2 linked regions of the Oryzias latipes genome follow. Each later gene encodes a partner of the first gene's protein in a complex. Links are inferred from orthologs where the notes say so. Each region holds a gene or a part of one and is shown on either strand. Other genes may lie near its edges.

The links. The genes of interacting proteins can lie anywhere in the genome.
Region 2: vps51 (region 1) and vps52 share a complex: the UniProt entries of both Homo sapiens proteins name them as parts of the endosome-associated retrograde protein (EARP) complex. The link is inferred for Oryzias latipes from reciprocal best matches to the Homo sapiens genes VPS51 and VPS52.

Annotation. Positions count from the first base shown.
Region 1 is NC_019872.2:19,784,699-19,788,783, reverse strand, and holds part of vps51 (vacuolar protein sorting-associated protein 51 homolog), read left to right. Parts: intron 1-2,521; coding exon 2,522-3,419; intron 3,420-3,519; coding exon 3,520-3,735; intron 3,736-3,835; coding exon 3,836-3,919; intron 3,920-4,011; coding exon 4,012-4,085. UniProt on the Homo sapiens protein: Acts as a component of the GARP complex that is involved in retrograde transport from early and late endosomes to the trans-Golgi network (TGN).
Region 2 is NC_019869.2:3,222,713-3,227,317, reverse strand, and holds part of vps52 (vacuolar protein sorting-associated protein 52 homolog), read left to right. Parts: intron 1-297; coding exon 298-365; intron 366-1,020; coding exon 1,021-1,196; intron 1,197-2,285; coding exon 2,286-2,436; intron 2,437-2,773; coding exon 2,774-2,874; intron 2,875-3,007; coding exon 3,008-3,140; intron 3,141-3,212; coding exon 3,213-3,270; intron 3,271-3,361; coding exon 3,362-3,495; intron 3,496-4,283; coding exon 4,284-4,439; intron 4,440-4,522; coding exon 4,523-4,605. UniProt on the Homo sapiens protein: Acts as a component of the GARP complex that is involved in retrograde transport from early and late endosomes to the trans-Golgi network (TGN).

The sequences.
Region 1 (4,085 bases):
CTGTCAGCCTGTCCATCAGCATAGCAAACAAAAAAGGACTCAAAGCTGATCCTTGGTGTAGTCCCACCTCCACCTTGAACTCCTCTGTCTGACCTACAGGACATCTCACCACCGTCATACTACTCTCATACATGTCCTGAACTACTCTGACATACTTCTCTGCCACTCCAGACGACCTCATACAGTACCACAGCTCCTCCCTCGGCACCCTGTCATACGCCTTCTCTAAATCTACGAACACACAATGCAGCTCCTTCTGACCTTCTCTGTACTTTTCCATCAACATTCTCAAAGCAAAAATGGCATCAGTGGTGCTCTTACGGGGCATGAAACCATACTGCTGCTCACAAATCTCCACCTTCTTCCTAAGCCCGGCTTCCACTACTCTTTCCCACAGCTTCATTGTGTGGCTCATCAACTTTATTCCTCTATAGTTGCTGCAGTTCTGCGTGTCACCCTTGTTCTTAAAGATCGGAACCAGAACGCTTCTCCTCCATTCCTCAGGCATCTTCTCACTCTTTAAAATCCTATTGAACAACCTCGTTAGAAATTCCACTGCTGTCTCTCCTAAGCACTTCCATACCTCCACAGGTAGGTCATCAGGACCAACGGCCTTTCCGCTCTTCATCCTTTTCAGAGCCTTCCTAACCTCATCCTTTCCAATCTCTGCTACTTCCTGCTCCACAACAACCACATCTTCCTCCCTTCTTTCCCTGTCATTTTCCACGTTCATCAGCTCCTCAAAATACTCCTTCCATCTTTTCTGTACACTCTCCTGGGTTGTTAGCACCTTTCCATCTCTGTCCTTAATCACCCTTATCTGTTGCACGTCCTTCCCATCTCTGTCTCTCTGTCTGGCTAGCCTGTACAAGTCCTTCTCTCCTTCCTTTGTGTCTAACCTGTCATATAGCTCATCGTAAGCTTTCTGTTTGGCCTTTGCCACCTCTCTCTTCACTCTACGCTGCGCTTCCTTGTACTCCTGTCTATCTTCCTCAGTCCTTTCTACATCCCACTTCCTTTTAGCCAACCTCTTCCTCTGGACGCATTCCTGTACTTCCTCATTCCACCACCAAGTCTCTTTACCGTCTTTCCTCTTTCCAGATGACACACCTAGCACCTTCCTACCTGTTTCCCTGATAATCTCTGCTGTAGTTTCCCAGTCATCTGGAAGCTCATCCTGACCACCCAGGACCTGCCTCAACTTCTGCCTAAATTTCTCACAAGTTTCTTCATTCTGTAGCTTCCACCACTTGGTCTTCTTTTCTGTTTTCCCTCTCTTTTTCTTCCTGACCTCCAGAGTCATCTTACACACCACCATGCGGTGCTGTCTGGCTACACTCTCTCCTACCACCACTTTGCAGTCATTAATCTCTCTCAAATGACCTCGTCTACATAGGATGTAGTCCACCTGGGTACTCCTACCTCCACTTCTGTATGTCACTCTATGTTCCTCTCTCTTCTGGAAGTAAGTGTTGACTATAGCCATTTCTATCCTCTTTGCAAAGTCCACCACCATCTGTCCCTCCAGATTCCTTTCCTTCACACCAAACCTGCCCATCACCTCCTCATCACCTCTGTTGCCCTCACCAACATGCCCATTAAAGTCTGCTCCAATAACAACTCTCTCTCCTCTGGGGAAACTTTCTATGACCTCATCCAGCTCACTCCAGAATCTCTCCTTCACTTCTAACTCACAGCCAACCTGTGGCGCATACCCACTACTACATTCACCATCACCCCTTCAATTTCTAACTTTAGGCTCATCATCCTGTCTGAGACTCTTTTCACCTCTAGAACACTGTTTACAAACTCCCCCTTCAGGATCACTCCTACCCCGTTTCTCTTCCTATCAACACCATGATAGAACAGTTTGTATCCTCCTCCAATACTACGTGCCTTGCTGCCCTTCCACCTTGTCTCCTGCACACACAGTACATCTACCTTCCTTCTCTCCATCATGTCTGCCAGCTCTCTGCCTTTCCCTGTCATTGTGCCAACGTTAAGAGTCCCTATTCTCAAACCTATGTTCCTGCCTTTTCCCTTCTCTCTCTGGCCACGGACCCTTCTGCCTCCCCTCTTTCTTCGACCAACAGTAGTCAAATTTCCACCGACACCCTGTAGGTTAACAGCATCGGTGGCGGTCGTTGTTAACCCGGGCCTCGACCGATCCGGTATGTCTAAAGTGTTGTGGATGATTCGCATGGTTATTTTGGCAATTTTTACGCCGGATGCCCTTCCTGACGCAACCCTCTCTATTTATCCGGGCTTGGGACCGGCACAGAGGCAACTGGCTTGCAACCCCTGTGGCTAGATTTGCTGCTCTGCAGGAACTATGTCCTAGAAATCGACAAAGGTTTTTTAAAGTTTCTGCTAAAAACGTTATAATCGTAATTAAAAAACCCTGAGAACATTTTTAATATAGATAAAAAGATGATCAGAGTTGATCTTTAAGAAACATGAAAAAAAAAAAACCTTTTCACCAACATTTCAGCATTTTCTTCGTTTTTTGATTGTTTTCCAGGGATGGAGGGACGAGTGCCAAGGATTTGTCCGAGTGTGTGGAGCTGCTCCTTCAATTGGACGAGCCTGCAGAAGAACTTTGTGACAAATTCCTGAGCCATGCTCGGTCTCGACTCGAGGCTGACCTGCAGGGCCTGGAAGCGGAGATACGACCATACCCCACTGCTGTGAAAGATGCTTCTGCACGCAGGTCTTCAGCAGGATCACCGACTGACTCCTCCCCTAAAACCAGCTCCCTTCCCTCTCCCACTCCAAACACTGACATCTTGGAGTTTATAGACCGAGGCTGCAATGAGTTTGTGAGCAGCTTGTGTTTAGTTATTGCCTCCTATCAAGAATTGTTCATCAACCACGCTCAGACAGGTGAACTGGCATCCAAGAATATCCCTCAGATGGCAAACCGGAAGCTGCACGTGTTTGTGGACGATCTGGCTGCTCAGTATTTCTCGCTGGTGGAAAGGAGGATACAAGAGGAGAAAGGAGTCAGCGATAACTCCCTCTTGGTCCGTGCACTCGACCGCTTCCACCGCAGGCTCCAGGCTGTTTCCAAACTGCTGCCGAACTCCACCGTCCCAAACCAGGGCACAGAAATCGTGATCCGAGCAGCGACGGAGCGGGTGAAGCAGTACCTGGCTGCCCTGCAGAGTTTCTACATGGACAGTCTGACGGATGTGAGGCAGGCTCTGGCGGCGCCTCGCCTATCTGTGGCCGGAGGGACAGGGTCAGGGGGTGGGCCTCATCTAGGGGGAGGAGCCACCAGCAGAGATGCTCCAAACAGTCTGCCGGAGCTGCTGTCTATCCTGTCGGCATCTATTCTCAACCAGATTAAATCTGTATTGGCTTCAGTGCATCTATTCACAGCTAAAGACATCACATTCTCAAACAAACCATACTTCAAGGTAATCATTTTATGTTCAAAGTGGAATATAAAGTATAGTTTAAGTTTTTTCATTACGCTTTTCTCATATATTAACAGTAATTTCCTGTTCCTCCATCCAGGGGGAGTTCTGCAGCCAGGGGGTGCGTGAGAGTCTGGTGGTGAACTTCATCAAGTTTGTGTGTCAGTCCTCTCGTCAGTTTTGTGAGAGTGCAGGTGACAAAGGAGGTTCCACTCCCCCAGCGCTCCTCCTCCTTCTGTCCCGTCTCTGCTTGGATTTTGAAACCTCTACCATCTCCTACATACTGACTCTTACAGACGAACAGTTCCTTGTGCAGGTTTTAAAACTGCTTTGATGCAAATACTCTGGAAAAAATATGGTTGATGTTTTGTGTAGGGAAAATACTCATCTCTTTTTCTCGTCTCCCTTTTTTTCAGCACCACAGTCCTGTAACTCCTGTCACAATTTTGTGTACAGAAGCCAGAGAGGCAGCGCAGAAACTGCTAAACCATTATGTCAAGGTTGTGTTCTCAAGAACTCAGTCTTCATTTAGTGGACAGGACGACCGAATGCCTCGACAGAACCATTTTATTTCTTCTTGTTGTTTGCGCAGGTTCAGGGTCTGAACATCTCCCAAATGTTACGAAAGAGTGTGGAAACACGAGACTGGGTCAACACCATCGAGCC
Region 2 (4,605 bases), on another chromosome or scaffold:
TTTAAATCTGGTATTACAGATGGCTTTGTGTGTTTTTGATTGGTTTCAATATCTTATAAACATAGATCAGAATAAAGACGGAGTGTCGATCGAACTTTTTGTAACCGGTAACATTTAATTTTTTGTCTTTTTAGGGAAAACTTAAATAGGAAATCTAAGTTTATATATACATTTTTAATCCATTGCAGTATGAAAGGTTTAATCCATTAAAATGAAAAGATGAAGCCAGTAAATGTTTCACAAAGGTTTTATTTATGGAAATGTTCTGTACAGTTTTCCTGATTATCTGTCTTCCAGACATTAAGGAGAGTCAGAACATTGCTCTCCTGCATAACCAGATCACTGCCTGTGACTCCATACTGGAGGTAAGAAAAGATCTCAGACCTGCTGCTGTCTTTGAGAAAACTGCTCCCGGACACTCGATGCAAGCTTTGGTTTAGCTTAACAAACTGGATATGTGTGAGAAGAAGATTATGAATGCAAAAAAAAAACAACATTTCTTTTGCTTCTCAAATGTTCCAGGTAGATATATTAATAGGAACAATTAAACAACAACTATAGTTGTGGCTTCTAGAAATGAGTAAAGGACAGAAAGATTCACTCATTCATTTGTAAATCTATTTAAGGTACATCTACACACAGTTTTATTCATAATTATGGTTATTTATTTTAACCATTTTATACTTTTTTATTTTAATCTTAGCTCTCTAATGAAGAAAGAAACCTATCCAAACTCTGACATAGAAGTAAATTTGACAAATTATAGGTTTTAACTCTAAAGCTGAATGCCAATTTTTTTGGGGGGGGTTATAGTTCAATATTTTTTATACTTTTTGAGACAATTCAAAGTGCTTTACATAGAATAAAAGAAACTTTGTAAGCATTCAGATGAAACGTTAAAATGAACAACCTTATACTCTCAGGATGTTGGAAATTATCTTGAAAACTGCCTCATCCTGTTTCAACAACAAAGTAAGTACGATTCCAAACTAAAGCAGATGTCTCTCCGCCTTCTTTCAGCGCATGGAGGGCATGCTGAGTGGCTTCCAGAGCGACCTGTCGTCCATCAGCAGCGAGATCCAGACCCTGCAGCAGCAGTCTGTCAGCATGAACATCCGGCTGAAGAACAGGCAGGCCGTCCGCAGCCACCTCAGCCAGCTGGTGGACGAGCTGGTGGTGCCCGGAGCCATGATCTCGTACGTCTGAACCGCCAAAATACCTACACACGCAGTCACGCACTGCAAACCATTAAGACACATTTACACTGCATGGTCCAAGTGACCCAATTCCGATTTTTTTTTCCTCTCATGTGGCACAGATCGGATATGACCGGTGACCGTGTAAGCAGGAAAACGCCTCATTCATATGTGGAAATAAATCGGATACGAATCGGATACGTGCATTTGCGTGTGCCATGTAAGCAGACAAATCAGATATTCCCCAGTAAATGCGAGTCGGACGTCAGTGACATCAACTCAGGACACCACCAACTGAGATCACATGACTTATTAAGGTGCTTTTGTGCGCTGATGTTGCTGTTCGAGGACAGCTGGAGCCCCATCAGCCTGTTACCTTTCAGCCTCAGGCTTCAGACAGTAGTCGGAAACCGCTGTTATTTTCCGTCCGGTCCCGGTCGGGACGCAAACGGTAACTAATGAAGCGGGACACCGTTGCTCTGGAACAGGCTAGAAGCCGTTTATTTCTTTGCTTGGATCAAACTGTTAGTTCAGCACAACGTCTGCAAACACTTCCTGATTCAAAACTCAGTGAGAGCATCTAAAAGCCGGCCGAGCAGCCCTCCTTTTTCCTCTCCCGCGCCGTATCCCCTCTCCCGCCTCATCCAGGAGCGCCCAAGGCAACGCCTCCTTCCGTCGCTGCGTTGCCTCCATGACAACCGCAGTCACACAAAAGTCCGAAGGAGGTCCGCGGAAGGCGGAAATGCTGCTACGTAGTCCTCAGAACGTCTACGTTTGATAGTTTCAGCATTGTATAGTGTAAATGCAAAAATCGGATACGGGTCACTTTTAAAAGGTGATGTAATCGGGCCGTCAAAAAAATCGGATATAGTCAGAAAATCGGATTTGGGCATCAAGACCTGCAGTGTAAATGCAGCCTTAGACACATTTTACCACTAAAAACCAGAGTCATTCTTAGTGGAATTCTCCTGCCACAAAAATGACCTTCCTAACCTCTGCGTGTTTGTTTTTTACTGCATAAATGTAGAGTGTGTGGTTGTAAATCCTCATGTGGAAAAAGTGAAGGACTGACGCCTTGTTCTGTCACAGCACCATCCTGGACAGTCCAGTGACCGAGCAGGAGTTTTTGGAGCAGCTCCACGAGCTCAACAGCAAAATCAACTTTGCAAAGGAGCTGAGCTTCAGAGAGACTCTGGCCTGCTCAGACATCCAGGACATCGTCGACCGGCTCAAGATCAAGGTGAGAAGCAGAGGCGCAGATAAAGATCTGTGAGGGTTTTTTTTTTTATTCATTCTGCAGAAAAATTATGGGTTAAAGTCTGGAAAAACGATCAGAAAGAGTTGTAGACAGAGGCCATTCCTGACGCTTTGACAGTTAAATGAGATAGAACTTTAAAAAGTTAAGTCCTAAGTCTCTTTTTGCCAGAAAAAAAGTAGAAACACAACATAGTCTCTTTGCAAATCAACTTTTCTGTTGTTGGCTGACATCTAATAATGCCACATGTTAGGTTCTTTGTACCCAAACTGCAACGTGATGAATTTAAACGGTTTTAATATTCTGTGGATCTCCTCTTTAGGCAGTTTCAAAGATCAGAGAGTTCATTCTGCAGAAGATTTACTCCTTCAGGAAACCGATGACAAACTACCAGATTCCACAGAACACCTTGTTAAAATACAGGTGAGGACGTCCTTAAAGGATGACACATAAAGTTTCAGAGTTTCCTCATTTATTGCCATGTTTTTACACTAAAGTCCCTGTTGTTGGAAAATGGATTTCCGATCTTTCTGACTTTTACACTTTCTTCCTGTAGATTTTTCTATCAGTTTCTTCTGGCCAATGAGAGAACGGTAGCAAAGGAGGTCAGAGATGAGTACGTGGACACCATGAGCAAAATCTACTACAGTTACTTCAAGTCATACAGCGGCAGGCTGTTGAAAGTGCAGGTCAGTGGAACAAATCTTTATAAAAAACACAACAATCTGTGTTTGATCTAATTGTTGTCGTGGATGCTGCAGTATGAAGAAGTGGCAGATAAAGACGACCTGATGGGAGTGGAAGATACAGCCAAGAAAGATATCCTTTTCTCTCTGACCTTGTGGGAATCCTTCAGTGAATCCTTCAGTGCTTTTGTTTTCCTGCGCTTCTCCTTAACGCCCAGCTGCACGATTTTTCTCCAAACCGTCCCTGAAGAGTCGGAATACCATCTTCACTGTGGGCCAGCGGGGGGCCATACTGAGCCCCGCTGAGCTGGAGGGGCCCATCTTGGTTCCACACACAGCTCAGAGAGGAGACAGCAGGGTGAGAGAGAGAAAGAAAGAATTTGAACGGGTCTCATTAAATTTAAGCTTTCTTTTTAATAAAGATGTGACACATATATATCTGAAGGAAAGGTTTCATGCTGAGCACAACACAAATCTGTCAATCGTCAGGCTTATACTTTTTTTTTAACAGATTTCTTTTAAAATAACTAGGATTGATTTTAAAGTTTCTTTTATTTGTTTACAAATGTTTTCGAGGTCCTCTTAGTAATTCCTTAAAGTTAGAACCAAACCTTCATTCATGGCCGACCCCACCTGTGGATCTCTTTGTACTCTTTAACCATTTTTTAAAATCATGTCTCTGGATTTTGTGACTATCTTTTTTTACTTTTACAATAAGGTCTAGTTATTGCTTTATTAGTTTTGTGATGTACTTTTGTGTTTTTGGTTTTAGCTCCAGAGCTCCTCCACACGGCGACTAACCCAGGGGTCACCTCAGCGCCGCGGGTCGGGTTTCAGGGCGTATCCCACGGTGATGATCTCTGTGATCATGACTGGGTTGGTCGCTGACGTGGACGGATCCCCAAAATAGAATTTCCTCACTTCCACTTTGGTTTCTATTTCTATTAATGCTCCTAAGTTTTATTTTATATTTGGGAGATTTTATTTGTTTTAAGTCTGATACTTTTGTAGCACTTTATAAATAAAGTTTGGTTTGTCTTTTTTTGTTTTTAAAGAAACAAACCTTTGCATCAAAAGGTTTTCTGTTATAAAAAAGGTCGTCCTTATATAACCCTTTTTAAATTTAGTTCTTTCTGTGTCCGCCAGTATCCCTATGAGACGCTGTTTCGCAGCCAGCACTACGCTCTGCTGGACAACGGCTGCAGAGAATTCCTCTTCCTGTGCGACTTCTTCATGGTCGCTGGAAACTCCGCCCTCGACCTGTTCAACAGCATCATGGGGAAAACTCTCAGCATGTTTCTGGTAGAGTAACCCTAGAGTCCTCATGGCAAGAGGCAAGAGGAGTCCCACATGACATAAAAGGTTCCCTCTGCCTCCTCCTGTAGAAAAGCATGTCCACCTACGTGTCGGACTGCTACGACAGCATCGCCATCTTCCTCTGCATCCACATCATCCTCCGGTTCCGCGC